4 linked regions of the Lytechinus pictus genome follow. The protein of the gene in region 1 purifies or fractionates together with the protein of each later gene. This does not show direct contact. Links are inferred from orthologs where the notes say so. Each region holds a gene or a part of one and is shown on either strand. Other genes may lie near its edges.

The links. Proteins that work in one complex are often made in the same cells at the same time.
Region 2: the proteins of prohibitin 1-like (region 1) and ER membrane protein complex subunit 2-like purify together in Homo sapiens (affinity purification with mass spectrometry; 3 studies listed by BioGRID and IntAct, with this or other methods). This does not show direct contact. The link is inferred for Lytechinus pictus from reciprocal best matches to the Homo sapiens genes PHB1 and EMC2.
Region 3: the proteins of prohibitin 1-like (region 1) and calnexin-like purify together in Homo sapiens (affinity purification with mass spectrometry; 3 studies listed by BioGRID and IntAct, with this or other methods). This does not show direct contact. The link is inferred for Lytechinus pictus from reciprocal best matches to the Homo sapiens genes PHB1 and CANX.
Region 4: the proteins of prohibitin 1-like (region 1) and stomatin-like protein stl-1 purify together in Homo sapiens (affinity purification with western blotting; 3 studies listed by BioGRID, with this or other methods). This does not show direct contact. The link is inferred for Lytechinus pictus from reciprocal best matches to the Homo sapiens genes PHB1 and STOML2.

Annotation. Positions count from the first base shown.
Region 1 is NC_087245.1:23,408,848-23,416,966, reverse strand, and holds the start of prohibitin 1-like, read left to right. Parts: upstream 1-4,600; 5' UTR 4,601-5,196; coding exon 5,197-5,293; intron 5,294-8,119.
Region 2 is NC_087245.1:30,467,449-30,475,369, forward strand, and holds the start of ER membrane protein complex subunit 2-like, read left to right. Parts: upstream 1-4,734; coding exon 4,735-4,750; intron 4,751-7,921. UniProt on the Homo sapiens protein: Part of the endoplasmic reticulum membrane protein complex (EMC) that enables the energy-independent insertion into endoplasmic reticulum membranes of newly synthesized membrane proteins.
Region 3 is NW_026974140.1:13,618,586-13,626,424, forward strand, and holds the start of calnexin-like, read right to left. Parts: upstream 3,188-7,839; 5' UTR 3,128-3,187; intron 1-3,127. Other genes in the region: coiled-coil domain-containing protein 138-like, read left to right, coding at 5,595-5,624. UniProt on the Homo sapiens protein: Calcium-binding protein that interacts with newly synthesized monoglucosylated glycoproteins in the endoplasmic reticulum. It may act in assisting protein assembly and/or in the retention within the ER of unassembled protein subunits.
Region 4 is NC_087249.1:20,892,490-20,900,557, reverse strand, and holds the start of stomatin-like protein stl-1, read left to right. Parts: upstream 1-4,881; 5' UTR 4,882-5,010; coding exon 5,011-5,067; exon of another isoform or gene 5,068-5,259; intron 5,260-6,073; coding exon 6,074-6,211; intron 6,212-7,299; coding exon 7,300-7,399; intron 7,400-7,676; coding exon 7,677-7,735; intron 7,736-8,068. Other genes in the region: DNA polymerase iota-like, read right to left, coding at 56-208, 883-1,047, 1,426-1,557, 2,867-3,026, 4,482-4,496. UniProt on the Homo sapiens protein: Mitochondrial protein that probably regulates the biogenesis and the activity of mitochondria.

The DNA.
Region 1 (8,119 bases):
TGAATTTTCTGTTTTCACACAAACCCACTTGTTCCAATTAAAGGTTTCATTTCCTTTAGTTACTATATGATTCCATGTAATATAGACTCGTGCCGTTGACATGTTCCGTTTCATTAGTCGTGAAAATTTTCATTCAGGCTAGGCATAGGATACAAACAATAAATATCTTCATGTATTATAAACATGGCTTAAAATATTTTTTCTCTTCTCTTTGTATTCTCTTTATCTGCAGATTGTCATCTCTTCAGCAAATTTGCTCCAAGCGGATTTCATTTGTGTATTTGTGTATATCATTTTTGTAACATAATGTACATTTGTTTTTATATTGAAAATAAATTACACTTATAAAAAATGGGGCAATTAAGGCATTTCAAAGAACTTAAATTGCATTATCACTTACGGGTGCCCCGTGCATCTTATTCTTTCAGGATTTTCTTTTACTACCTCGAGATTATATTATTTGAACGTTGACAACATTCGCTATAAAATATGCTATAATTACAATGGTTTGTACGTTTCTTTCATTAAAGTAGTGAGGTTTTAAATGTAGTGGGTGCTTTGAAATTGAGAGATCGACTTACAAGCAAGACCTATTACGTTTTGAAATTAATATAACCCCAATAGGTCGCAAATGGTATATTTTTTCAAGTATTCGTCGAAGATACATAAAACCCGAATTTGCGTATATATGTTTTCAAGTTCATCGTGATGTCTTGCTTGTAATGTCTGGAGTATTGCATTTGAAAGACACAAAACCAATTTGAGAAATCAAATCTACATTCAAGTTTATAAGACTGATATTGTTGAAACCAAAAGCAACAAGTTAAGCAAAAAGACGTTCACTGTTAGCCTGAGCTTAGTGGTTTCATCTAAAAGTCCCGCTGTTACTGTAAGGCATCAAAAAGTCTTACTGTTACTCAGAATTTTCGTAATGTGAACCTACTCTACAATCCATGAAAAATTTATAAATCTATTCACAGAACACACCAACTTGTAAGTCCCCAAGAAGAAAAAGAGTTGGTAAAAAGGGTAGGCTCTATTATTACTTGCGATATGGTTTTCAATCGGCAAAAATGAGGTTCAAAGAGAAGAGCGAGGGAATTGGAAGTGATATGGATAGGGCAAAAAGAAAAAAAATGTGTATGCCCAATAATGAGCAGATGAAGAATACAGATCGAGAGAGAAATGGGGTGGAGTTAAGAACATGAGAAACGAGGAAAAAATAAAGAACGAAAGAGTATATAAAATATCCGTATAATTATTGATGAATACAAAGTTCAAGACAGTACCCGGCACCTTTTACGCCCTCCTTTTATCAAAATATGCCCATCGTGATGGCGCCGCCTCTGGTGGTTATATACGGCATGTCCCAAAGATCTGCGTGGGTGATATAATAGGTTTCAATCGGCAAAAAGGTTGAAGGAGATGGGAGGCAATGTGTCTGGCCATGAGCAGAGGAGAGATACAGAGAGAGAAATGGGGGGGGGGGGGGCTCAGTTTATGATAGGATATTGGAAGAGATGAGGAAATCTGCAGGGGAGGAGTGGGTGAAATATAGAGAATGATAAGAACGGTAAAAACGAGGGGGGTGTGATTACGAACGAAAATATATAGAATACCTAGCTATCGTTTTATTGAGGAAAACAAAATAAATGACGGTACCCACTACCCCCTATCAACATAAGCCTATCGTGGTCTGGCGCCGCCACTGGTTATTATGCTTACCAATGATCATGCATGGACTGGGAGAATGCATGGATCATTCCTGATGCAAAGAAAAAAATGCTTAGTACCACATTGTCAGCCGCGGAAACTTGGGGGCGCTGGGAGCTCCTGCTGATCATTTCCGTTTTATTGTAAACGTCTTAAACGTAAATAACCATAGAATTGTTATATGTATAGGCCTACATTCTTTTCAACATGTTTTTTTATTTAAGTATTTCATCCAAAATCAATTAATACCAACCCCCCTCCCCTCTCACACACCAGGGGCCGCGGAAGCGGGGGGGGGGGGGGGCTTCAGCCCCCCCCCACTTTTTTCCAAAACCGTGTACAAAAACGTAAAAATTACCATATGATTGTGATTTTTTGCATGGTCAGCCCCCCCCCCCCCCACTTTGAAAACCGTTCCGCGGCCCCTGCACACACACACGTATTTCACAAATCGTTCCTCGGGTCTAATTTTCTACTTTGTAATAATTATGTTTGTACCGTCGAGATGGATATCCACCTCTATAGTGGTGTACAGATCGGGGTGGGGCTTCTTTCCCCCCCCCCCAAAAAAAAAAAAAAAAAAAAAAAAAAAAAAAAAAAAAAAATCATGACGAAGGAAAAAGAATAATGTATGGTAAGACATTTCTCAATGACTGGAGAAACTGAGCACGGCAATAATGAGGAGATGCACTGTAAAAAATGATGTGCTAATTTAGCACTTACAGTGCTTGTATAGTGACTGCACTACGAGTGCTGATTTTCTAGCTTAAAGGTCAAATCCACCCCAGAAAATTGTTGATTTGAATCGATAGAGAAAAATCAAACAAACATAACGCTGCAAATTTCATCGAAATCGGTCGTAAAATAAGAAAGTTATGACATTTTTAAGTTTCGCTTATTTTTCACAAAACAGTGAAATGCACAACTCAGCAATATGCAAATGAGAGAGTCAATGATGTACATCACTCACTATTTCTTTTGTTTTTTATTGTTTGAATAATACAATATTTCAATTTTTACAGATTTGACAATACGGACCAACTTAACTTCACCATAAACTGTTAAAATAATGGTAATTCCACATGTTCAGGGAGAAATAAAACTTTGTTGCACTTGACAAGGAGGAGAAAATTAGAATATTTCATATTTCATATAATAAAATACATAATAAATAGTGAGTGGGTGACATCATCAGTATGCCAATTTGCATACCGACCAGGATGTGCATATAACTGTTTTGTGAAATTAAGCGAAACTTTAAATTGTCATAACTTTCTTATTTTACATCCGATTTTGATGAAATTTTCAGTGTTTTGCTTGTTGGATTTTTCTCCTTTTTTTCAAATCAACTTTTTGTTGGGGTGGACTTGTCCTTTAAATTTGAACTACAAAATCGGCACTCGTAGTGCAGTCACTATACACTGTAAGTGCAAAATTAGCACTTCATTTTTTACAGTGTGGAAATGGGCAAGTCCAAGAATTCTCGCGCGTTACGTATGGGACATTTCAGAGGTTTTAATGACCTGAAAAATAGTGTTAAATGACTTTGATTAGACTGAAAACTCAATTTATATCCAACCCAGGGGCAGATCCAGGATTTTCAAGGGGGACATTTTTGTTTACAAAAATTTTGACAAGCCCCACCCCCAAAAGAGTCTTCACTTTCACTGACACGTGCCTAACAATTTACACTAAAATAATATAAACATTATAATTGCGAGCGCGAAGCGCGAGCCGAATTTTTTTTTGAAAATCTTAACCTAAAAACGATATATTAATTTTGTGCACTTAATTATGAGTAGGATGGGTATATCTTCCTTAATAAATTATGCGAGCGCGAAGTCCGTCCTCACTATCGGTACAGAGAGCTCTAAAAGTCGCATTGCGTAAAAATCACAATTTACCGATAAGTGTACAGTTTAATTGACATTTACCGACAAAGATGGTGGAAATAAAAAACCGAATCAGTTGGAACAGCCCGGCCGTGTGCCCGACAGTTATGATTTTTCCGACAGTCTGCAGTCCAGTTTTTGTTTTCCCTTTCTTTTGAACTCTTTCTTCTTAAAAAAAAAAGCTTTATTTGGAAAAAAAAACAAATACCCTAAATAAGTTTGACCCCGCGTTGCGTTGGGCCGCTGCCTAATATTGGCCTGTCCAAATTCTGATCAATCTCATTATCATCACCATCTCATAAGGGATAGTCCGGGCTGAAAGTATTTATAGCTTAATAAATAGAGTATATAATTCACTGAGCAAAAAGCGGCCGAAAAATTCATCAAAATCGGATAACAAATAACAAAGTTATTGAATTTTAAAGTTTAGCAATATTTTGTAAAAACAGTCGTCATGAATATTCATTAGGTGGGCTGATGATGTCACATCCCAACTTGTTCTTTTGTATAATATGAAATTAGGTTTATTCAAAAATTTTCCTCCAAGAACTAAAAAATTGGATTGACAACTGATTTCGTGCATTAAATATTTATTGCTGCAACTTATTTCATTACAAGGTAGACATATTATCTACACAAGTATGAAATAATGAAAAAAAATTATGATTTTATATGTAATGACATATAAGAAAACGGAAAGTGGGGATGTGACATCATCAGCGTATCTAATGAATATTCATGACAACTGTTTTCACAAAATATTGCTAAACTTTAAACTTCAATCTAACTTTATTATTTGTTATGCGATTTTGATGAAATTTTCGGAATTTTGCTCAGTGAATTCTACTCTATGACAAAGATATAAATATTTTCAGCCCGGACCATCCCTTTAAAGCGCCTTATCTTTCTTTTTTTTTTTTGTCCAATATCTTCCATTTCGATTTGATCTTTCTTGTTTTTCTACTTCCATGCAATATGACCATATTGCTTGAATTGTAATAGGTACGATTTTGGATGTATTGGAAGTACTGTGGCTTACTGTACAGTGTGATTTTGGAATCATTTCATATTTGGAGGTAGGGCCTATATGGAAATTGGCTGAAATAAATTAAATGAGACTGCAGTGCACAAATACGTGTATTTAAAAAATGATACGATATGAAAAGAAAATCAAATCTATCATTTTCCCTACATATTTAAGACTACCGTACCGTATAGTATGCGAGCTCGTTGTACGTGCCTCGTTCATAGGCCTCGTTATACAATATGCACACACAGCTGTACAGTGATATGATACACACGTGCATATACATAAATGTGATGCAATTCTGTGCTGGACGTGACTGCACTGGTTTTAATTACAGAGACGGATTTTGAGATCAAATTCCACCTATCTTGATCTTAAATAGTTCTTTTTGTGACGATTGCATATCAGTAAAATATATATTTCACCATTTTTAGTCGCTTAAAGATTACAGGAATTGATCATTCGCTATTTAGACAGTTTTCTTGCGAAATCTACACAGTACCGTACCGTAGACGTAGTACGAACTACGACTCGTCGCACTCGCAACACAGACGAGGGAACAAAATGGCAGCAGGTTTGAATCAACTTTTCTCCAGGCTAGGAAGTATTGGTATTGGTGTTGCAGTTGTAGGAGGCATTGCAAATTCGGCCTTATATAATGGTGAGGAAATCTATGATGAGATTATGTTTTGAGTGAGTGTGAACATGTTGAGTCTCGCTTGGTTGCGAATTGTGTTACTGTGTAGTGTGTGAGTCAGTGAGCATACATTGCATGGTCATGGAGTCATGGACATGGTGACTCTGACGTGAGCTGGGGCCCGTTTCTCGACAACACCGTCATAAGTCTAACTTCTTGACTATTAAAATCGGAGATAGTGAGCTATTTGTCCGCTAACCGTTTCACAAAGCCCTCTTTGCCAAGATCGGGTACAACAACAACCTCACTAAGATAGAGTAAGATTTTATGACATCTCCGAACCTGTCACAGTGTCAGTGTCAACTTCTTTCTTGACTTAAGTTAGAGTTAGACTTAATGACATCACGATCACGTGGGTAGACAAAGTGCCTAGAAATTTGAAAATTATGGCCTTATCCTGAAATAAGTCACTTCTCTTCTCGTGTGTGTACAAAGTCAATGGGAGAGGAAAGAAGTCACCGCCGCTGACGAAATGAATGGCAGTCATGGCAGTGAATGGAGTGGTGACTTAAAGCAAATCATGGGGAAATCAATCAAGGCTAATCTAAAAAACAGAGAAGGGATTCAAGTCTTTCGCTCGGCTGCATGCCTGGGGTGTTACGTAATAGACGCCGGCGTGTCTGGGAGGTCTAATCTTAGGAGAGCAATAGTCATGATAGTAGACTAACCAACCAGAAGTAAACTGCATGTTTTCACTTTGAAACATATAATAATGTAACTCCACAGAGGTTATTCATTTTGCTTTACATGTAGCAATCAAGAGACCTGCTAAAGTGCTATGAGTCTAGGAATTGGGATTGTTGGAAGCTAGAACTGCGACGACCCGAAGTAAATAACCCTCGCATCGGTCAAATTCGTGTGCTGTCCGAATTTTTTCGCATTAGACCGACAGGCGCTCATGACGGACAGATTATATTATGCAAGTCAATTGGCCTTTTGCAGATTTCGTATTGATTCAATTTCCCCATGATTTGTCAGTTGCCAGGCCCTTTAAACCAGGATAACGCCAAAATTATAATCTTACGTAAACAATCATAGAGCTTGAAATTACATCACAAAACAAGTGGGAATGTGGGATAATGTATTCAATGATAATTGTATAATACAAAGAAACTATAAAAACTGTTGGTATTAAAAACGCCACAAAACCATTCATTGTGAAATAAAGATTCTACCACGTCAGTGTTAAAGTCAGGCTATCCATAACTGAAAAGTCTGAACTCGTATTTGTCGTTTTCAGACCTCTAATAACATTTGGATAAATTATATCTCTAATATCTATGCATAGAATTTGTCAAATCGTATGTTTCGGTATGATATATTTTGATGATGGTATCATAAAAAAAGCTGTATAATCATCATTATACAAAGAAAACCATTATCATGGTTTACTTTCGTAAACTATCAAAATTTGATATCCCGGGGGTACCCATCTCAACGTCCGCATGTGATTTTTTATTCATGAAATGAATTACATGTATTCATAATTTCATTTTTTCAGTAATTGAATGTTCCAATCTTCATGGTATAAGTATGTATGATGTATAATTTACAATGTACCTCTGCTATTATTTTGAAAAGATGTATTTCCCAATTCATCAAAATATTTGCAATTTTGTAATTGTTCTTTTGAAAATTATTATTTTTTTATTATTTTGTGACTAAGGCTACGTCTCGTCTGTTCTTTTTACCGATAGTATCGATATCAAGCTATTTTAGTTAGGAAGCCTTTCGTGAAACAGGTTTAGTAAGATTGGAGCTAACTCCGTGGTTGGTGGATAAAGATATGACTTCTTGTCCAGGTGTTGAGAAACGGGCCCCTGAGTGGAGCTGGAGTGACTTCGTCGGGCTCGGCTACCTCAACTCAAGTGATGTTCGTGCAGGCTAGCCTGGAGGCTTCTGGAGAGTAAAAGTCATTTACTGACGTACTGTAGGCTTACTCTCCATGAAGCCTTGGTCGACATACCATTAGCTTGGTCATGATACAGTCCCAACTCTACGGGAAATCAAGTTTGATTTTCACGGCAGTGGGGACAGTTTCAACAGTAGCTATACTGTGATACAGTCCCCTCACCATGGGATACACAGTTTGTTTTTGCACGCAGTGGGGATAGCTCTAACGGTACATTACACTTGTGATGCTACAGCGTGCTCGGTCGGCAACGGGATGGGGACAGTTTCCCAATGTGACAACAAGGAATGATCGAGAAAGAAGAAGACAAACTTCGGGGGGGGGGGGGGTCTCACCAGAAAAAGTGTGCCCCTTCAAATTAAATCACTGTAGACTCATTCAAAACATTTGGGTACAGTATTATTATCATTATTTATTATCATTGCTATTATCATCATTATGATTATTAATGTATCATTATATTATTATTATTTCTATCATTCTTTATTATTATTCTCTATCATCATCATTATCATTATCATTATTGAATTTTCATTATAATTATTATTATTATCATTATTATTGTTTTATTAATTATTGAAAAGTGTGCTCCTGGCCTTCCGTTCATCCATTCCATTCCTTGTTTTTATTTACATGTAATTCCTTCGAATTAAAACACAGTAGACTCATTCAAAATGTTTGGGTGTTATTATAATTATTATCATTATCAATTTTATCATCATTGTTATTATAATCATTTGTTATTATTTATTATTATCATTATTATTGTTATTATCCTAGAGCTATTATTACCATTACTATTATTATTAACCTAAATTATTAAGGTGGGAGTGTCAAAGGGTAAGTGTGCCCCCATCCAATAAAATCACTGTAGACTA
Region 2 (7,921 bases), about 7.1 Mb from region 1:
TATATCTGACAAATAAAATAAATAAATTAGATTTTTCACACGCAGCCTCTCATATTTTCCTTTTTAGTCTCATACAATCAGACACTGTTGATTTTGTTTACTCCATTCAAACCCTATTTTTACCTCAACAGATAACATATTAACGCATAATTTGCAAAATCATCATTATATATATATGTTTTCTATAATAAATCAGTATATTGAACTAATAAAATGTCGAAATTACTTAGTTAACTCTTTGCCCGCCACGGACGACTCGCTGCACATACAGCGGACTGCCAACGACGACTCAAGTCACAGTTCGCACACAATGCATACGGAACGCATTTAATTGTAATTGTGTGCACACAAATACAATAGCGACGCGTGTATTGCATTGTTTACGAATCTAGCTTTCGTGTTATAGCTTTCGCCGACATTGTTTACATTGAGATTATTCGCGTAAAATAGAGTTTTTTGAACTGCTTTAGGATATATTTCGATGAGCTTTCAATAGCTTGCACTGCTTTTCTTGTAATAAAAGAATGATACAAATTGCCACCTCCCTATAACAATAAGGGGATCAATAGGACGGGAAGTCTATTGAGAAGTAGCCAGGGACAATTTCAATAGAAGAGTTTAGTTCATTGTCAGTTTACTCTTTTTGAATGCCCCATTTCAATCCTAAACTGCTTAGCTCATAATGACCATAAAGACATGGATTTGGTATGTAATGAAAGCTAAAGAACACATCTTTTCAATGGACTAACTTAGAAATTTAACCTTCATTAGGAAGTATTGAATATAAGAGGTATAAAATACCCTCCTAAACGAAAAATTGGAAACAGAATGTAAAGTTAAAATTCTCAACATTTATGATTTTATACATAGCAAAAATGATACCATTGGCAAGAGTATTAATTTCTCTAAAACTTTGCTACACAATTTTTTTCAATACAACAAACCAGTAAAAAGTTATTGTGAGTTGAATAAGACAGTGCACGCAAACCCCCTCTGAATGTGGCACCCCAAAATTAATGTGGCGCAGAGGGGATAGTGTACGTGGCGGGCAAAGAGTTAAATCAATTTTTATGTCGGACAAGGGTCTCTTTCGTTGAAATATCAATGAAAGGTGTCTCTAAAAGGACACCGTGTTCTAAATAAGTGAAATAATGAAAATTTCGATTTTATCCAGTTATGTTTGTGAATCTTGAAAGTTTTTTGTCTCACCTGCATAGCAGAGTGAGACTATAGGCGCCGCTTTTCCGGCGGCGACGGCGGCGGCGGCGTCAACACCAAATCTTAACCTGAGGTTAAGTTTTTGAAATGACAGCATAACTTAGAAAGTATATGGACCTAGTTCATGAAACTTGGCCATAAGGTTAATCAAGTATTACTGAACATCCTGCCTGAGTTTCATGTCACATGACCAAGGTCAAAGGTCATTTAGGGTCAATGAACTTAGACCATGTTGGGGGAATCAACATCAAAATCTTAACCTAAGGTTAAGTTTTTGAAATGTCATCATAACTTAGAAAATATATGGACCTAGTTCATGAAACTTATACATAAGGTTAATCAAGTATCATTGAACATCCTGCATGAGTTTCACGTCACATGACCAAGGTCAAAGGTCATTTAGGGTCAATGAACTTTGGCCGAATTGGGGGTATCTGTTGAATTACCATCATAACTTTGAAAGTTTATGGATCTGATTCATGAAACTTGGACATAATAGTAATCAAGTATTACTGAACATCCTGTGCAAGTTTCAGGTCACATGATCAAGGTCAAAGGTCATTTAGGGTCAATGAACTTTGGCCAAATTGGGGTATTTGTTGAATTACAGCCATAAATTTGAAAGTGTGTTGGTCTAGTTCATAAAACTTGGACATAATAGTAATCAAGTATTACTGAACATCCTGTGCAAGTTTCAGGTCACATGATCAAGGTCAAAGGTCATTTAGGGTCAATGAACTTTGGCCAAATTGGGGTATTTGTTGAATTGCCATCATATCTCTATAAGTGTATTGGTCTAGTTCATAAAACGTGGAAATACGAGTAACCAAGTATCACTGAACATCTTGTGCGAGTTATAGTAGTTTTCAAAATCAGCACTGCTGCTATATTGAATCGCGTGATGCAGGTGAGATGGCCAGAGGCATTCCACTTGTTCTCTTTTTACCTCATAAAGTACGCTCCATACATCAATTCTACAATCAGTAATAAATAAAACATTATTTGATCCCCTTTTATTGAAATATATGATTTTATGAAAAGTCGTCATTCCGAAATAAAAGGTTCAGGTGACGATGAAGACTAAATATTTTTCCGATACTATCGATATCAAATGATGTCGCGGACTTGAAAGACAAAATTGCCTTCGTGAAACGGAAAGCGCTGATTTGTCGCCAATCTTCCTATCTCGGAAGAATGGTCCTAGGACGTTCCTACGTAACGCTCATCTCGTCATGCAACAGGCCCCAGGGTCCCAAAAAATAAAGAAAACATTTTTAAAAGGCTCGAGTTTGTTTTGCTGTCCTTGTTATCCCCCCCCCAAAAAAAAAAAAAAAAAGTGAAGGAATGAAAGACAAAAAGAATAAAAGAAAGGAAGAATAAAGAAAGTATAGATGTGAAGGAAGGAAAAAAAGATCTAAAGAAGGAAAGGAAGAACAAAAATTAGAAAGGAATGAAGGAAAGAAATGAAACATAATAAAGAAAGAAAGCTTAAGAACAAAAGACAGAAAGTAGTGAAGGAAAGAAAGAAGAAGCAATTAAAAAGAAAGGGTAAAAACTAAAATGAGATGGAAAGAAGGAAAAAAGAACAGTAGAGGCGCACGGCCAATATGGGAGACTCTCCAATAGGGGAGACAATCTCCCACATTGGAGACTTGCTTTGCAAAAGGACAAAATTTTGTCTCACTGAGGTCATAAGCCCATTTGTTTTGTGTGTGATTGACAACAAAATTCCTTATCAAAACAAAAGTAGACGGTGAAAAGGGGTAATTTTTCATGAGGAATCTGCTTATCACATTTTTATTTGCCGCCAAGGTAATCCTTTTGCAGCAAATGTAAACAAAGGAAATTGGATACCCAAATTCTTTACAAAAGTCTCTGTTAAAATGTTATTGGAGATAATCTCCCACAATAGAGACAGTCTCCAATATTGGCCGTGCGCCTCTACTGAAGAAAGAGAAAGAAAAGGTAAAATGATAGATAAAGAAGGAAAAAAAGAATGAAGGAAGCAAGCAATATAAAAAAAGAATGGATGAAAGGAAGAAAAAAAAGAAAGACAAAGAAAGGAAGGAATGAAAGAAAGAGAAAGGAAGCAAGCAGTAAAAAGAAAGAAAAGGTAAAATGATAGATTGAACGAACAAAGAAAGGAAGGAATGAATGAAAGAGAAAGGGCTGAAAGAAGGAAGAAATAAAAAACAAGAAAGGGTGAAGAAATGATGGATGGAAGGAAGAAAGTAACATAGAATGAAGGAAAGAAAGGGTAAAAAGAAGGAAAGAAAGAAAGAAGAGATAAATATAGGATGGATGGACTCAAGAATTAAAGAAAGAAATTTAAAAAAAAGAGAAAAAGAAGTAGAGAAAAATATTTTTGTGAAGGAATGAAAGAACAAATAAGGGAAATTAAAAAAGAAAGACAGTAACAAAAAAAATGAAAGAAGAGAGGGAAGAAACAAAGAATGAAAAGAAAGAAAACTGAAAATAAATTGTCAGTTTCTTTTTGGCTCAATTGAAATATAGCTACGAAAGAAAGTCAAAAACCAAGTGTATCAACACACACAAATGCATATATGGGGCTACCATGTATTCAGACGATATCACTCGAAGCCCGATCTATTTGAACTCAAAACAAGTGAAAATTTCTCCTTTTACTGCTTACAAATGACAGTTACCCCAATTTTTAGGAAATATGGACATTATAAGAGCTTTTCATGAGTGAATTTTGACAGTTCGGTGAGAGATTTCTGCCAGAGGTTAGCAAAGCTTCGTTCGTGCAGCCAGTAGAAAATTTACCATGTGGGCTGTGTGGCTGGCTTCATGTACACTGTATGTAATACCCAAGTAAAAATTACATGCGATTCTGTGTGTATTCTGTGTGTGAATAACAGAAATTAACGGGAGGAAAATGGTTTGCAATGTGAGTCATGGAATTATGTTTATGTTGGACCAGTGAATTTGACCATTTCTGGAAAAGTTACTGGCCCAACAATGGTTTGTATTACTGGTCCCATAAATCTTGCTATTTTTGAAATAATTACTGACCCAACAATGATATTTTTTACTGGTCATGACGGACCAATAAATCTTGCTATTTCTGAAAATCTACTGGCCCGACAGCGATTTTTACCCGTCTGGGACCGTCGGACCAGCGGTAGTGTCGCGTCCTGGTATAGGTACCAATACCATGGTCTGTGTATACTGTATGGGTGAATACCGGTAGAGAAAAGTCCCCAAATACCGACGAAAATGACTTCAACTCCCTCCCCATCAGTACCTCTAGCGAAGTTCGTGCAGGCTCCACTTCACTACCGCTACACTACGCTCCACCTACCCGAACTTCGAGACCATGAACTCGATCTGATATTTCGAGTGACAAAGGTGGGATTTTATGGGGGGGGGGGAATATAAAATTCATGCAACATCACGATCTTTAAAAACAATTAAAACTAATATTCTTACTTTACAAAAAGTTTCACTTTTCCATGCTTCTATCAGTCTCAAAATTGGTGATTTAGAGTCAACATGAAGTTCCTCACACGTATAAATAATTCGCTGCTGATTTCAAAAAATCGCATGCGCGAGGGTTCGAGCCAGTAACCCCTGTGTGGTGAAATAACATGATTGATTGCATTTATTTTTCATTCCAAAATTTAACAAAAGTTACAATGTATAGCAAAACACAACAAATATAATATACAGAAATGAAAAAAGGGAACCCACTGGAAAGCAAAGCTTGTTAGTATGGGTTCCCTGCAATAAATAGTTAATTAAAGTATATCTTTGATCAATGAAATTAAAATAGTAAATTAAAAAGGTTTGTACAATGAAAAAGAATACTAGTGGGGTCAAGCTTTTTATGCCTACTCACTATGTTACATGAATAAGATTGTCGATGTTTGGCTTATTTTGCGTGATTAATAGATGGGCTGGATAATAAATGTTTGATTTTTTGGCACGTTAGTTTTTAATACAGTAGGGATAACTTATATCTGAATTCATAAAAAGAAAATATGCCTTGGCCCAAAACTCAATAGAAATTATTTTTTGTCTAAATAAAAGGAGAATCTGTGGAGATGAAGATCTGCATCAATCTCACTTTCCACCAATAGAGGGCCTCACAAATATATGCTCAAAATAAAAGTTTTTTGAGAGCTCTGGTGAACAAGAAAAATTTAGTCTATATATAGATTTAAATGAAAACAAATCACACCTGAATGAAACTGGGTGGTTTTTTTGTCACAAAAGTGATATTTTAAAGACCTTTTTGTTTATTTTTAATTGATAAATGAAGGTAGACTACATGTAGGTCATCCCCTGGTGTGGTAATGAGGGTAAATTTGCTTTAAAAAGTGTAGGGAAATGCTACTTTTACATGATGAAAATGCAGAGTCCCTACTGTTGGAGAGGGCCGGACACCCGCTCGCCGCCCTCGTACTTTGATACTGATTTTTTATTATCAAAGGTTGGCAGGTATGTTTTAGTGCAATTAGCCCCAGGCCTTATTTAGAATCAGGGGTGTGAGAGTTCAGATTTTTTTGTTTTGATTTTCAGCTTATTTTTGGCCTTCCTCTGTACAAAAAGTATGGGAGCTCTTTCAATTTCAGACTTTTTCAACACTCTTCAGCTTTTTCAGATCTTTTTATTTGTGACCACTCACACCCCTGTAGAATGCAAATGCGACATTAAAGAGGGTGTTTCAACGCCTACTTTGATACGGGCATTATCTTGGAATAGGTTACCACCGCACCGTTCACTTCAAACGGCAGCGCTTCAGGCTTTATTAAAAAGTAACACACATTGGCAAATGGACTGGTCCCTTATTTCCACCTCCTTTGCCTTTGGTTGAGTCCATTCACATGTACTAGTGTGCATGCACAAATTTACGAGTGGTTCCCTAAAATTATGAAATTATGCAATTCAACATTGGGCTTTCTTATCTCACCAAAGTTTACTTCTTAAAAAAAAGAGATGAAATTTTGTCTTCAAGGGGGACCCTTTCTTGGACTTGCCCTGGACAATTAAACTCCATTTCATCATAAGAATCATGAGACTCTCTTTCGTTAAGAATGTATCACTTATCACTAAATCAATCTTATTGCACATGTACTTAACCTGATAAAGGAAAACTTCTTTTGAAACCTACATGTTATATCATTATAAAGCTAGTAGGTCTTCAGTTTCATCATGATTTGAAAATAATCCAGGCTTGCCTTAAACTAAACAAAGTGGAGAAACAGCAACTTTTGTTTGATGAAAATCATTATTTAATAGCATGTTATGGATTCATAGTTTCACATACACAAGAGTTCTTGAATAGATTCAAACATATGGCATGAAAGAATTATCCTTTACAAATAGTCAAATACCAAAAACATGAAATGTGATTAATGTTGAGAGCAGATATAATTAAATCAAAAGTGGTGATTTGATCTGCACACAGCTCCTTAAAATATGCAGCATATTTCTAGCACAGGGGGGGGGGGGGGTCACTCTTCACATAGACCGCTACCCACCCATGTCCGACAGCCTCAGAAATGTACCCTTAACGGCGTAACTACATTTACTCATTTACTCAATTTGCAACCCTAAATGGCGTAACCAATGAGAAAAGCCACCCTAAGTGGCGTTAACAGGGAAAAGCCCCTAATTCGATACCCTAAGTGCCGTAAACATATTAATTTGATACCAAACTGATTACTGATGTTAAATGAATGTTACATACAACAGGTATAAGTTCCCGGCATTTTTTTTATTATTGCAAGTAAGGCCAGCATAATTTACTCTCAATGACACCTCTCTTCACTTTGAATAGCCATCTTTTAGCCTAAATTAATGAATGCAAGTGAAAAATGTTGTTGCCTTGACTGACTGATGCTTCACTTAAACCATTCATTTTACCAATTTCATCAAAACTTGAAGAAAAAAATGGAATCCATACCAGTTAATGTGTTGAAAAATACATACATTAATTAAACCTCTATATATCTTTTTTTTAATAATGATTAAAAAACAAATCATAGGAATCCCCGGTATGAATCAAACAAAATGGTATTGACTAAAGGCCTAAACCTATAGGCGTGCTGCCTATGGTATAGAGCCGGAGGTACGGAGGTATTCTCTCATAAGTGATGCGCTGGCCAGCGTGTGCGAGGATTATGTTGTCTCCCTTAAAATCACACCCTTCATACTGTTTATGGCTTAGGTCTGCTCCCAAATCTTCTCAAATTTGCAACCCTAAACGGCGTAGAGCTTTTCATATTTGCACCCCTCAATGGCGTCATCTTCATAACCAAATTAGCAACCCTAAATGGCGTGAAGAGAGAGAGAAAATGCTACCCTAAACGGCGATTTACCAGCGAATGGTGCTGAAATGCAACCCTTTTTTCCAAAGACGTCGACGACGCCTGAGTGCCTGAAATGGGACCCTTTTCTACACTTTTTTTCTGGACGTGGGTGCGTAGCAGGCCATGTGGAGAGTGACCCCCGGGATTTCTAGTCTTCAATATTAAAGAAGCTACATTTTTAGGACCTGCCTACGGATTGCGTTTGGGGCTTTGTTTCCAATTTTAATTGAAGAGGTTTTCACTTTATATTTTTGAAATATTTGAGACAGAAATCTTACAAAATCGACATTGGCTGAGGCACTCATATTATATTGCCCAGATGTGCAGATCTTAAGCCAGGAGTTGGTAAACAAAGCAGAAAACCT
Region 3 (7,839 bases), on another chromosome or scaffold:
ACAAGTTTCCTTTGTAGGGGACCAGGAGGAGGAAAACTCCAGCGGGTCGGAGGAGCTGGCCAGCCACCGGCCCCCACCGCCAGAGGCCAAATAGAGGGTTCCAAGCTAGCAAGCAGCTCAGAGGGGCCATCCGTAGGCTCATCTGAAGGAATAACAGAGGGCGTGTCGGAGCGCCTGATAGTCCCAGGGAATAATGTAACCGGAATAGCTACTTATGTAGAGGCTGCGGCGGGGGATCCAGTTGGTCCCTCGAACACCCGAATATCAGACCTGGGTGAAGCCATTCTGGAATCAGTTCCAGATGCTCTCCCAGGGCTTGGGTGTGCAAGCGAGATTGAAGAGGTAGTGGTATGTAGGTTGGAGTCGCGCTCTACTCTCAAGGTCTCAGTTGTTATAGGGGGGCAGCCAGTAAGCGCAGTTGTCGATACCGCAGCCGAGGTGTCCATCATCTCGGATAGGCTCCTGCAGTCACTGGACCCCCAGCCCCCTAAACTGAGAGGAGTGATCCTACATGCAGCGGGACGGGATATGAAGATGAGAGGGACAATTGTCGGTCCCCTTTCCATAGAGCTTGGGAACCAGACATTCTCGGAGGAAGTATATGTAGCCCCTATAGCTGATCATATGCTCCTGGGATTAGATTTCCTCAGCAAGCGCAAGGCTGCGATTCACCTCCTAGATCCGCATATGCAGTTGGGAGGTCAGAGGATTCCACTTTGGTATAGTGATGACCCTGGGCGGCAGATTGCCCGGGTTCATTTGCACAAGCGGGTAATTGTTCCTCCGAATGCAGTCAAGCGGATCACCGGCATTATAGACCAACGTTTAGAGGATTTCATGTTTAACCCTTAGGATGGCTTACTGCTCCTAGTTCCCGGTTCGGTTTACAGGGCTGGGAAAACAGAACCCATCTGATAGGCACCTTAAGGTAACCTGCTCTGAGGTGTTGGGGGAAACTGAAAAATTGAAGGGAAGGGAGACGGGATCGCTCCCTGTTGAAAAATGGGTTCACCTGGATCGCGGTTCCTCTACCGAATTACAGGCAAGCAGCCGTACTATTGGGGCTAATGGTTCAGCTTGTAGGTGGAGCCAGTCCAGTACAAGTCGGTCAGGGTGAGGCCAGTGGGCGTTACCGATGGGCAGCTGCCCATCGACCCGTTACGGGTGGAACAGGAGAAGGATCCTACCCTGGGTTCACTAGCGAGGTGGGAGAGCTTGTCACCTCAGCCTGGCGGATAAGGTTTCTCACCCTCATGGAGCGAGCTAGGATTAACCATCTGGCACTCTATGGGGTGTAGTGAGGAAAAAAGGGACTGGAGGAGATCTGTCCTCCATTTGTCACGAAGGGATTTCGATTCCCTTTGCATTTTTGGGTTAGCTTAGCGCGTTTAGGACCCTATATGTTTTTCTGTACGGGAGGGACCAGCCGAGTCGCCTCCTCTTTGTGTCTGTTGTGTTCGTTGTTTTCGTCTATCTTTTTTGTATATTTAGGCCATGTAGGAAATGCTTCATGGTCCGCTTTGGAGGGGAGTGTTTTAAATGGCCCTTTTCGCATAATGGCAGCGCTGACGCCCCCTTCCTGCACCTGGGGGACCTAGGTTGGGTACTGGTGCTCCAGTCTCTCAACCGAACGGGAATGCTATGTGTTGCACAGCCCGGGTAAGATGGTGCCTCGACAGGGGAGGGCCAGCGGCAGCCCACTGCTATGGGAAAGTGGAGCTTTCTGGGAAGGGGGGACCCTCCTGGGATATGGGTTTTTGTATGGGTTTTATATTTTTATATATATATACCATTGTTCTATATGTTTTGTATGGGTTTTTTAAAGAACCTCAAAACTCTAGGTTTTTAGGTGTTATTACGGGTTTTTACCGTTTTCATGTTACGGGTTTTTAAAGTTTAAAGTGTTGAACAAGTTTTTAGCACAGTTGTGCCAAGTGTTTTGGATAGTTTTGGAGTTTTTATTTATAAAAGAACGGAATATGTTTATGGCTGATTACGGGTAGCAAATTATAATTAATTTTGGGAATGCAGACTTGGGACAGAACAATGCTGCATAAGTACTTTTTGCCAAATTTTAAGGAGCATTGTGTACATAAAAGACCAAAGGGAATTTTTAAATGGGCTTGTATTTACTCATGCCCAGCCGGGAGATAAGGTCTCCTGGTTGGGGTGCCTAGGGAGTGGAGAATTTTTTCCTCCCTCTGCCTGGTGTCTGGTTTGGATAGCGTCCATTTGGGTTGGAAACTCGAGGGACCGAGTTTTATAGAACGGGGGGGACTGTTGTAGTAAGTCACCCCACCCCCCATATAGGTCTTCCACCGGGAGATGGCGCTGGACCCCTTTTAGACGCTGGAGGACGTTGGATCCCTTGGATCATTGTATTTGAAGCTGAACTCACACGGAATAGACAGGAACTAGGACATCACTCCAGGAAAATACTGGTTAGTGACTTATTCCTTATATTCTAGCTTCAGGTATCAACCTAGTGGTCAAGCTGGGGGCGCGACCGCTACATATACTTGAAACTGTCCCCACCGCCGTGAAAATCAAGCTTGATTCCCCGTTGAGTGGGGACTGTATCACGAGTATATAATAAATTAATAGGGAGAGAACCCAAGTGTTTATATACACTACAGTGTGTGTTTCATTTGTGTGTGTAATATCATTTTGCTACAGTCTTAGTTTTACAGAGCTGTCCGAGAGTTGGGGACTGTGTTCTGGAGAAGGGAAGTGATTTTCATGCGTTCTGGTGGTAGGTGTGATTCTAATAATCCCCACTTTTGGATTTGGGGACTATATCACGATTATGCCAACCAACATACAGCAAGATTTCATTCATCAACATGGCAACTTCGATTTCTCAAGACCAAGTCTGTCTGGCATGATCACGTCATGACAAGCACAAACTGACAAACAAATTAAATTCCACATCCATTTCTTACACATGGGACTACACACAAAAAGATGATCGACTACACTCGACTTAAGATTTGATTAAAACGCACGATTCCTAGAATAGAATCTACAAAATTGGTTTATGTACAGGTATATACAAATGATGATGTTTTCAATGCCATTTTCAGCTACACTCATACACAAATTCATATTAAAAGGGGTGTGTTCTCACCTTCACGCCGGCGCCGGTAATCGGTAATGAACGCCGTATCGTATCGTCACATGCAAAAAACATCGCATAAAATTATCGCGTGGAGCACGCTGACTGGTCAAATTTTGTGTGCGTTAATTCCAATGTGTAGAAATGAGAGACAATATTCCGATGGTTCATTTGCGTTGCCAATATGTTACTTGGACTACTGATGGCAATTTTAAATGGGTTAAATTCTGTTTTATAGTTTTAAAAGTATAATTTTGATATTTGAAACTGGCAGACGTTTAATCTATATATTTTAAATGCGCTGCTACTTTTTATCTGGCATAATTGTACATTAAAAAAAAAAGAAGAAATGGGTGGGGGAGGGGCACAAAAATCTAAACCTAGCCTTAGACCGGGGCCTTAGACCAATGAGATGGGCATCACTCATCATAGTGGTGGATTAATCCACCTCTATGGCATCACTTAACTTGGCAGTCAATACTCCCGAGGGGGGGGGGGTACTTACATTTGGTTTGGACGGGGGTGTGCGACTGAAGGCTCAAAACCCATACCCATGATATTTACGGGTCATTTTGGCTAAAAAGGTACCCATTTATATTACGGATTTATTACAGAGGCGGATCCAAGATTTTCAAAGGGGGGGGGGGCACGATTTTCCCTGGAAAATTTGACAAGCAAGCAACAACAAAAAAAAGGTTATCACCCATTTCGTGCACCTTAGACTTTGGAGTAATATGGACCCATGTTCAAGGCCAGTATCTAAAAATTGGGGCCATGTTTAGGGATTTTCCAGCATAAAACCATACCCCATGTTAGGGACTTCTTTCCAAAAAGCGACACATTCCAGTGGCACATCTCCGTATGCCTTATTTCGTGAATATATATCCCCCCCCGGGTCAATACGTGCATCCAAGCATGGATCCAAGCCTCGATCCAAGGCCATGTGTCCATTGATAATACCTGCAATCATTTAGCCAGTAAATTTGCATAATATGGGTATATAATTTAGTAGATGATCTATATTGGACATCCAAAAAAAAGCGGGAAGATTAAAAAAAAATTCCAGAAATCAGGACGACCCTGATTCCTATGAGCTATATTTTATGCAAGAAGGGAACTTGTACTTCATCACATATAGTGATTATTTGAGCCATAATTGCTTTCTGACAAAGTTCGAGGAAATAAGTCATTTAAGTAGCTTGGAAATTATTCCACCATGCAATCAATCAGTGGAGGCCAGGATTTTCCAAAAAGGGGGTACATTTTCCCGAGGAAAATTCGACAAGTTTCAAGTTTCAAAATTTATTGATCAAAATCCACACATATTAAGTTACAAATCAAATATATATATATATAAATAAATATAAATACTAAATACAGTAAAAATATGGTTAACAATTTTCAAGGAGCCCTAAAACACTTTGCACGATTTTTATATATGTAAATTATACTAAGCTAAAATCACATTTATATAATTACAAGCAAAAAAGGTCCATAGTGAGTTTAAAAGGGGAAGAGGGGCACACTTCGAAAACTCTGCATAAATGAGAACGTGCCTAATTTAAGTCCCCAGGATTATGTCCGGGGTCTTTATTATTTTTGGACCCCCGCTCCCCCCCCCAAAAAAAAAAAAAAAAATCTGGCCTTCCCCCATTCCCACTTTATAAAGTTTCGATATTTTTATCTGTCTCTTTCATATAACATGTGTGGATTTCTTTTATTAATATTTAGTTTGCAAATGCATGCTAACTTAAAACTTCTTGAAATATAATTTTCATTAAATGATAAAAAAAAGATTCACTCTTCAGGGGCTGCAGAACAGTTTTGAAAGTGGAGGGCGGCTGAGCCAAAGGTGGAGGGCGGCTGAGCCAAAAGTGGAGGGCGGCTGAGCCAAGTGGAGGGCGGCTGAGCCAAAAGTGCATGACCATGCAAAAACTCACTATGGGATGGTAATTTTTACATTTTTGTACCCGGGTTTGGAAAAAAAAAACAGGAGGAGCTGAAGCCCCCCAGCCACCCCCTGTTTCGCGGCTCCTGCCGTTTTTAAAATGAAAATTTGAAATTTAAATATTTCTGAGATCATCAAAACGATCGTCATTCTAGCAGTGCGTAGTTTGGGATGCTAACTTTAAAGATGAATTGCAATCGGCTAAAGACCCTGTAATTTTTTTTTATTATGATAATTTGTAATTTAATTTGTAAATCCTGTACAGAATATTTAGTAAATGTTATTTCACAATCGACTTTTAATGATCTTTGAAATAATTTCATTGAATTCTATTGGTACTGGGTCATTATTAAACTACCGGTACTAGTTTTTATTTTATTTTCTTTATCTGAATAAATAATATTTCATAGATTAAGACTATCTATTGGCACCAAAATCAAATGTTGATCAGCTGTGAATGTCGTCGTGTTTACCACTAACCCCAAATCACCGGTCGCAAATTCAAATTTACCAGAACCTGTGCCTTGTGAGATGTCTCGGAAATCTTATCAACATAGAACTGTAAATACCAGTGCCGACTCAATTGAAATTTCTTAGGTTAAGTTAGCTTAGATTTACTGAATACACGCCAATTCGAATGCACACACATGCACAGACATGTCATTAACGAATACGTACGGTACGGTACCTCAGGCTCAGCCTCAGGCGATGTTCGCGCAGGCTCCACTCCACTTCACTACCGCAGCGGCTAGGCGCTACACTACGCTCCACCTACCCGAACATCGGGACAGTGAACTACTTCAACTAGATCGGATATTCCGAGTCATAAGGTGGGATGGCAATCATGGTTATCGTAAAAGTTAAAGAAAAAAAATATAACGAGGGATATGAATGACTTAAATAAATATTCTTACTCTACACCCGTATTTCACTCCGTGTCCATCCTCCGGTTATCCTCAAAATTTGTGATTTTTGGCCAGTATCTTTTTCCTCACATGTACAGTAGACTAGAGGCGCACGGCCAATATTGGGCATAATCGTGATATAGTCCCCAAATCCAAAAATGGGGATTATTAATATTAGAATCACACCTACCAGAACGCAAGAAAATCACTTCCTTTCTCCAGAACACAGTCCCCAACTCTCGCACAGCTCGCGCTCGAGAACTTGCGAAATGATAACACACTTACACTTGGATTCTCTCCCTATATATACTCGTGATACAGTCCCCACTCTACGGGAAATCAAGTTCACTTTGCACGCAGTGGGGATAGCTCCAACAGTATATTATACTCATGATACCGTCCCCTCACAACATAAAATCGTGCTCGTTCGACAAGGCCAAGGGGATGGGGACAGTTTCCCAGTGTAACGTGACAAGGAAGACTCATTCAAAACCTTCGGGAATTATTATTATCATTGTCATTATCATATTATATTATCATTATTATCATTTTATCATTATATTATTATTGTTATTTAATCATAATTATCATTATTGTTATCATTATTATTGTTGTTATTTAATCATTATTATTGCTATTATTATTATATTGTCAATATTATTATTATCATTATTAATATTATTACTATCATCATCATATATAAAACTTGCACAGACATGTCATTAACGAATACCGCCTTTTACCGGGTACGGTACGGTACCTCAGGCTCAGCCTCAGGCGATGTTCGCGCAGGCTCCACTCCACTTCACTACCGCAGCGGCTAGGCGCTACACTACGCTCCACCTACCCGAACATCGGGACAGTGAACTACTTCAACTAGATCGGATATTCCGAGTCATAAGGTGGGATGGCAATCATGGTTATCGTAAAAGTTAAAGAAAAAAAATATAACGAGGGATATGAATGACTTAAATAAATATTCTTACTCTACACCCGTATTTCACTCCGTGTCCATCCTCCGGTTATCCTCAAAATTGGTGATTTTTGGCCAGTATCTTTTTCCTCACATGTACAGTAGACTAGAGGCGCACGGCCAATATTGGGCATAATCGTGATATAGTCCCCAAATCCAAAAATGGGGATTATTAATATTAGAATCACACCTACCAGAACGCAAGAAAATCACTTCCTTTCTCCAGAACACAGTCCCCAACTCTCGCACAGCTCGCGCTCGAGAACTTGCGAAATGATAACACACTTACACTTGGATTCTCTCCCTATATATACTCGTGATACAGTCCCCACTCTACGGGAAATCAAGTTCACTTTGCACGCAGTGGGGATAGCTCCAACAGTATATTATACTCATGATACCGTCCCCTCACAACATAAAATCGTGCTCGTTCGACAAGGCCAAGGGGATGGGGACAGTTTCCCAGTGTAACGTGACAAGGAAGACTCATTCAAAACCTTCGGGAATTATTATTATCATTGTCATTATCATATTATATTATCATTATTATCATTTTATCATTATATTATTATTGTTATTTAATCATAATTATCATTATTGTTATCATTATTATTGTTGTTATTTAATCATTATTATTGCTATTATTATTATATTGTCAATATTATTATTATCATTATTAATATTATTACTATCATCATCATATATCATTATTTTTTATTATTGTTGGTGTTATTATTATTATTATAATAATGATAGTATTATAAATTATTATATTATCATTATTATTATTATTCTTTATCATTGAAAATGTGCCCCTTCCATCCATTCTGTTCCTTGTATTTCATTTAATTCCTTCAAATGAAATCACTGTAGATCGACTCATAATAACGTTTGGGTA
Region 4 (8,068 bases), on another chromosome or scaffold:
TTACAAACAGCTTCAACCTATCATATTTATTGTGTCAACATGCCATTGTCATTACCTATTTTTGCATCACTCTCATAGCTATGACCAATATATGCTAGTTTCTCCTGGTCAGATGATATCAGTCGTGACTCTACAAGCTGGGTGACATCCATGAAGTTCTCATCAAAGCCAAGTCTTTCAACCAATGGACAGAACTTCTCAAGCAATTCTACAAATATAAAAATACAGAAACATTGTTGCAAATCCTCAAAGCTGAAAATTAAATTAAATGCAAACAACTTGAGTTGCCAGATTTTATATCAATTTGAATAAAAATAGGTCTGGGCTTGTTTTTTTTTTTAGCTTCTTACTATTCTTATTCATCCCCTGTATGCTTTAGAACAAAGTAAAATATTTACATTTTCAAGCAATGCTACAAAAATAAAAATACAGAAACATTGTGCAAATCCTCAAAGCTTAAAATTGAATGTACGTGTAGTTATCATCTGCTACACACACAACTTGAGTGGCCAGATTTTATATCAATAAAAATAGTTATGCCACTGGGTCTGGGATATTTTTTTTAGCTTCTTACTATTCATATTCATCCCCTGTATGCTTTTGAACAAGGTAAAATACTGAAACACATGATGATACTTCTTGGGACCTGCTGAACTTGCTACAATGTATTACAGTTTAAACTGGATCGTACAAAGAATTGTACATGAGAGCAGACTTTTGAACTGCCCAAAGGCTTCCAACATCTGACACCAAGACAAATATTTAAATCATGCCACATCTAACATCTGATGCAAAGTAATTATTTTGTTGTTCAACAGTTTCCAATTGTTTGCACCTCTCCCTCCTTGGACACAGAGGAGGAAATGTCTTTTCACTTCTCACCAGTCACTTTGGTAGATGTGTCTCTGTAGTTGGTGAGATCTTCACCGCTAACAAGGACAAGGTCTGGGCATTTGATGAGAGCATCCTTGATGTAGGAAAGCTTAGAAACCCCTCTGGCTCGAGCAACATAGTTTGTGGTCACGACAATATTTTTTTGTTGGATCCCTGTGTATGATTAAAAAGGCAAAACAGTAAGATAGAAAATGCAAAAAATATCAATTATTAGTACATGTACATGAGAAAACTTGTAAAAATGTGCCATATTTTACCATCAAATGGGAAACAAATAAAGTAAACTGAAGTCCTGAATATTTTTTTTAATAAATCAAAATTCACAAAAGATCAGTTGGAATTGAATGATTTCCCCCTGATTTTTTTATGCAATCATTTTTTATTTTTATTTACCCCATCCCTCTAGCTGTCTGTCCATCAATCTATGGTATCAAGCGAGCTAGCAATCCATCTATAAATTCTGTTCAGTCATTCATTCATTCTTTCTTTCATTCGTTGTCTAATGGGGGTTGGAGCTTTGTATGTACATACCTAATGGTTTATCTCTCAGTGCTGGATTCCGAAGCATCTCTACTTGGGCGTAGAAACAATCTAGATCAATGTGAACAATCGTCCTGGAATGACCAAGTTTGGACTGTAGACAAGGCTCATTTCTATGACCATCTATTGGGAAATTTTACCAGGTGGGTGTTTCATAAAGCTGTTCGTAAAGTTACTCAAAACTTTACGCACGACTGGAACATGTTCTTATGTCCTACATGAATGACATAGGGATGTATCATTTAGCACAAGAAGGGGTTACCAGTCGTGCGTAAAGTCATTCGTATCTTACGAACAGCTTTATGAAACACCCACCTGGTAGAGTCTTTACAACAATGTACATATAACCTCTACTCCTGCATACTAGTCATCAATTATTATTATGAATAATGAAATAATAATAACTTATATCTATAGAGTGCTCATTTACAGGGAAAGTCCACCTCAACAAATAGTTTACTTGAATAATAAGAGAAAATAAACTTCCTCTGCTCAATCTTCATAAAAATTGGATGTCAGTATTAAAGATAAAAGAGATATGAAATTTAAAAAAAATTGCTTAATTAAAAAAAAGGTAATATACACATCCTGGTCATTAAGCAAATGATGAAATTGATGACATCACCCACTCACTATTTCTTTTGTATTTTATCGTATAAAATATGAATATTTTAACTTTTTTTCTCCTTTGTAACTAAGTTTGATTTTCCCCTAAAATTACAAGTACTTTGATAAAGAGTTTCTTCAGTGTCAAATCTGCAAAAACTTAAATATTAGATAATTCATATAATAAAATAATAATTAGTGAGTGGGTGACATCATTTACTCTCTCATAAATATCACTATGTTGAGTATATAACTGTTTAGTGAAAAATGAATCGTAAAATTTCTTATCTTACATCCGATTTTGATGAAATTTTCTAAGAGTTGTTTTCTTCTACTTTATGCAAATCGACTCTTTTCATATAAATGAGTCTCAACAGGACAACTCTCCCAGGAAAGTTGCTACCTAAATCCTATGAAAAATCCTCTATTTTTATGGATCTTCTAGAGCAGAGCTCACAGGGGACCTGATTTTTGGTCCAATGTTTTCTCCTTTACAAAAAGTGAGAAAACATTATAAACACCTCAACACATAAATGTCATTTTGGTATTACTGTCTTGGTCTGTCTATAATAAAAAAAAATATCATAAATATATACAAGATAGTTCATTGTCCATGATGAATATGAGCAACACAGAAATTTTGCTCCCAGAGCCATTAAAGCATACGTTTACTTTAATAGTCTCATAGTAATTTTGTAAAGTGATAACAAGAGGTCAACTTGATAATACATTTTCTAATTCTATTTATTTGAAAACCATACCTAAGGAAAAAATGAAATCTGATGACTAGGAAGTAGTACTTTAAAAGCTACTGTTGATTAATTACCAGTTAAAGATGACAATTGTGTTTTCAAAGAAGAGGCTTTGGTGCTGGGTGAACCAATATCTGACGGCATCCTCCAATCAATGTCATCTTCCTCATTGAGTGCTTCATCTTCAGTGTCATCCTGTTCTTCCCATCTCCCTTCCATATTTGATCTATGTGACTGGGAAAAGAGAGATAATAAATAGCAACAGGTGGAATGCCCCTGGCAGTCTTTCTACCATTATTCAATTCAATAATAGACCACATAGCTGTAGATAATTGAGTCTTGAGAATACAGATAATTACCAGTATTTTTTTTTCAAATTAGGATTTCTATCATCACGGGAGAAAGTTCATTATTTATACCAAATGTCATACTAGTTAGTGTGAATGATATCACACAGGTAAATATGGTCTTCAACTCTATAATATTTTGAACCAATGTTTTTTTTACACAAAAAATTTGGCAATTTATTGAAATATTATTCATGCTAACAAAATATATTTGTTATGAATGACTTCATTTCCAAGAAGTTGCAATTTAGGAATATTGCAACAAGTAACATTTAAAGTAAAAATGAACCAGGACCAGAATCCAAATGAAATCTCCATCTTAATTGCTGCAATTGTTTTCACCTGATTTGAATCAGTTTAATTCAATAACCTTCCCTCCTCCTCATAATAATGTGCAAGCAATTTAAGTTCATTTCTTAGATCTAGACTCCAGAACCCTTAATACAGTAGAATAACTTTCATTTCCTTTTCAAACTTCTTGTAATGTAAAATGTAACTGGAAGAATTAAGTCACTTCAAGTACTGTAACCAAACTGGTTTTAGTCATAAGTTTTATCTTATACCCCTTTCATAAACCCAATAAAACCTATCCTCCATCAATTAGCCGCCTAAGAGTAATGCGGATAATTCAATAAAAATTGCGTTCACAAACTCCGAAAATTATCCGCATTATTTTTACGAGCGCCCGTCCTGAAAAAGGCGGATAATCGTCATGACAACTGGACACGCGCCCTCCGATGCGGTTGTGTTGGAAAAGGGTGACCTTGTGACCGCACCATGGCAATTATCCGCATTATTTGGAAATATGTTCATAAACTCAAAATCTTGTCCCGATGCCGCTATTATGCGGATAATAGCAGCATCAGAATAATGCGGATAACTCTTGTCCTCCTCGGATTTTACGACCAAATTATGCTGCTATTAGCAGCATAATTGGGTTTTATTGGGTTTATGAAAGGGGTATGAAATAAGTGAGATAAAAATTGGAGCAAACTGGAAATCAAAGATTACAAATTGAATTTAAATTTGAAACTTGAAAGTTATGAAAAAGAAGCCTTTTTTTTTTTACTTCAAATGTTAATTGTTTAGGAAAGAAAAGACATGACATAACCTTCAATCATTGTTGGTGACTCTTCATGCCCACTCCCCCCCCCCCCCCCATCAAAATATCTGCATTCCTGGGAACGATTTTTTAGAGGAGGTGCTACCGGAAGTTTAAATTTGACAAGCAATTAAAAGAAAAAGAAAAAGAAAAAAAGGTGGTCACTACAAGTACAAAATAAAGGTGATTGCATTTGAACATCCTCCGTAAAACGAACTAGTACTAGTAGATCTAACGTACCCATATCCAGGTCATTGAATGAGTGCATTAATCCAACATGTCCAAAGACCAAAGCCAGTTTTAACAGAATTAACAAGTCAATTGTCACATGAGCAAATGTCGCATTATTATTACTGAAATATGCTATCTTGCAAAAAGCTGTATGGCAGTGAGTCCAAAGACCAAACTTCGCGTGTGTCCATACTTCGTGAAGGTCATTATCTCAAAAACTAGCCAATATCCTTAAAATCTGAAATCAGCAACATGAAAAGCGACCTAAAAATAAAATTGCCCTTTGGCGTAAGTTTCTTCAGGGTGAGTTCAGTATTCATGAAAATATTGATAAAAGATTGGCAAATTTAATTCCAATGGATCAAACCAAAGTCAAATTTTCTTTCTCATTAGTACAATTACAACCACCATACCGTACATGATTGAATGGGCATGCATGTACTATGTCTTGTATTGTGTAAGATTAAGAATTTTTGAGATTTCATCATATTATTATTAAAGACAAAGTGAATATCCTTGCATAAATATCAATTTCAAGATGTTACCTATAACGACAATGATAAGGAGGACCGGGGCTCTTCAACGAACTTCACAGGTAATGTAAAATTACTGCAATTTTTTATGAATCCTGAGCGATGGTTGTGGACTTGTGGAGCGAGCGTGTGTTGTGTCATCTGCCTGCTGAGCTGGGCCGGGTGCCGTTCAAGCGCCCAGCGCAGCCGGGGCGTTGAGGCTAGTGGCGATGGCCAGTGCTAGCTACATGTAGCTGCTAAACAGCTCTACTCCTATAGGATGGGGGATCGGGTGTCCGGACACTTTATATTTTTGAAGCCTTCTTTTTTGTCTTAAGATTACACTAAAAATATGAATTCAATAGTTGTAATCATCTTCTATTTTGTTCTCTATAATATTTTCTAAATTTTTTTACTAAAATTTGATGAAACTTCGCTTGTAATTTTTTCCAAATGACTTTCTAAAATTGATCGTCCGGACACACAACCTGTCCGGACACACAACAACTGGGTATACTATAGCTATCGGCTCTCGCCCCGTGCGCGATTTTCATTGCAAGCTTTGCAAATAGTAGTAAATTTCACGATTTTTGTTTCAAACTTTTGTTTTGCCGCAATGTTTTTGGCAAAGTTTACAGTTATTTGCGAGGTTCATGATTTTCATCGCAAATTTTTATTTTACAATCGCAATTTTAGAATTTTTACTAGCTCGGTGAAACTTAAACTTAAAGTAAACTGTGAATACCGGTAAAAAGTTAGACCTCTACTAATTCTAAAATGACTCAAATTTCAAACCCAATGGCTAATGCTTGCATCAGGTTTTGTCCTTTAGCCTAGGGCCCGTATCATTTTATGAACATGATGAATGTTTTGTAATTATAAGTAACGTTAAATCTTTAAAGACAATTAAATTTGAAGAGAAAAAAAGTTGTCACTTGATATTCTTGACGTTGGATTTCTAATTTCAGTTAATTCCTCATTTCTAAATTCTAGTGAGAGATGAGATTAATCTGTGTAAATTTTTATGTCTTACATGTCTTAGGCATAAGTGGAAAATTTGAATCTTAACATTAATTTTTTCATTGACAGAGACTTCAGCAGTGTGTGATTACCCAACATGCAAGGTGCGTTTCAAGTGGTGCAGTGAACACAGTTATCCTGTTTGTACCTCAGCAGGAAGCATGGGTAGTGGAGAGGATGGGCAGGTTCTACAAAACTCTTCAACCTGTGAGTTATTGTTGCCTATTTGTATTAGTATCCAAATAATTACATTGAGAGGGGGTGGGAGTAGCCAGGAGGCTTCTAGTCTAGAGAGTAAAAATCATTTACTAATGTATGCTTACTCTTTACGAAGCCAGGAATTCCTTCCTATTCATCTGCACGCACCAACCAAAAACCTGAAACTTTCGCCCCCGAGATTTCTACTTCTAAAAGATCTAGCCCTAAATCATGTTCATGGGATACAACTTCATTTCCGACATTTCTACGCTTTAATTTTTAAACAAGAATTCATAAAAAAATGAGAAAAATACGAAAAGACGGAAGAGACTTGCCCGATGTTTACGCCGCCATCTTGTTTCCTATTGTTCTTCCCCAACGTGACGGACGCATGATGAATTCTTGTTTAAAAATTAAATTGATAGCGTAGAAATGTCGGAAATGAAGTTGTATCCCATGTACATGATTTAGGGCTAGATCTTTTAGAAGGAAAGTAGAAATCTTAGGGGCGAAAGTTTCAGGTTTTTGGTTGGTGCGTGCAGATGAATAGGTAGGAATTCCTGGCTTTGTGGAGAGTAAGCATACGTTAGTAAATGATTTTTACTCTCTAGAAGCCTCCTGGCTAGGTAGGAGAAGATAATGCAAGGAGAGGCGGGAAAAGAAGAAAACGAAAGAGAAGGAGGAAGTTGGGTGTTTGAGAGAGGTGGAGAAATGGGAAGGGGAAGAGGAGGATATGCTGATGGGAGGAGTAAGAGGAAGAGGAGAAGAAACAAGTTTTTAAGGCATTAGCTTATGGAGTTATGCACACATTTTTATAGTAAGTTGTTAGATGTGTATGTACTTCATATCCTGGGATAATTCTATTGTGAAATTTAAAAAAGAATGCTATTTTAAATCAAGAACACATTGCTGATGACACTAAGGGTTTGGTCAGGTGATAGATTGATCAGTGAAGTACATCAATTTTTTTTATTAAAACTTTTGGCCCAAGCTCTATATTTTGAACTGCAATTCCCATTGTGATTTATTGGCTGCTGAATGGTTCACTGGCAACATTTATTTACAAGAAATCATTTTAAGAATGTTTTTCTTTGCAGGGATTGAATCTACTGATTCCAGTGCTTGACAAGATCAAGTATGTTCAGAGTTTGAAAGAAATTGCTATTGACATTCCAGAGCAAAGTGCAGTGACTCATGGTAAGACTTATTGTTTTATCTTACTATATCATACAATAATTGGCAACTTGGTTGGATATATATGTTTTCAGGATCAAAGATTTCAAAATAAGAATAACAAGACAAGAGTTCTTGAAGATTATAGTTGCATGGAGTTGTAACAAATTTACAATCTACTTAAAAAGTGTGTATAATTGAACTTCTGATTTTTATCATTAACTGGGCGAAACGTTGATAGCTATTCAAAAAGCGAACACTTAATCCTATTTTATTTATTTCCCTTTTATTTTATATAAAGATAATGTGACACTAAGGATAGATGGAGTTCTGTATCTAAGAGTCATGGATGCGTACAAGGTAATATCTTACTTATTGAAAATATTGATGATTAAAAGATTGGGGTATTTTACTTACGTATTGACAAGTCATTTTGATCTCTTGATCTGTATGGTGACTGTAGATTACAAATAAATTCCAGTTGTGTTAATGATTACAAAATTAATTCTGTTAGTATGTAATGAAATTAGTGCTTATTTGTACATGTATAAGAAAGTAAGCATGGCGTTCTATCAAAATATGACTTTTTCCCAAGTTTGCTTCTGTGTCGCAGATTTTTGCTATATTTCTTTCCAGATAACTTTTTTTTTTAATGGCGTGCTTGCAAAATTATTTTTTATTTCACAGTCACTC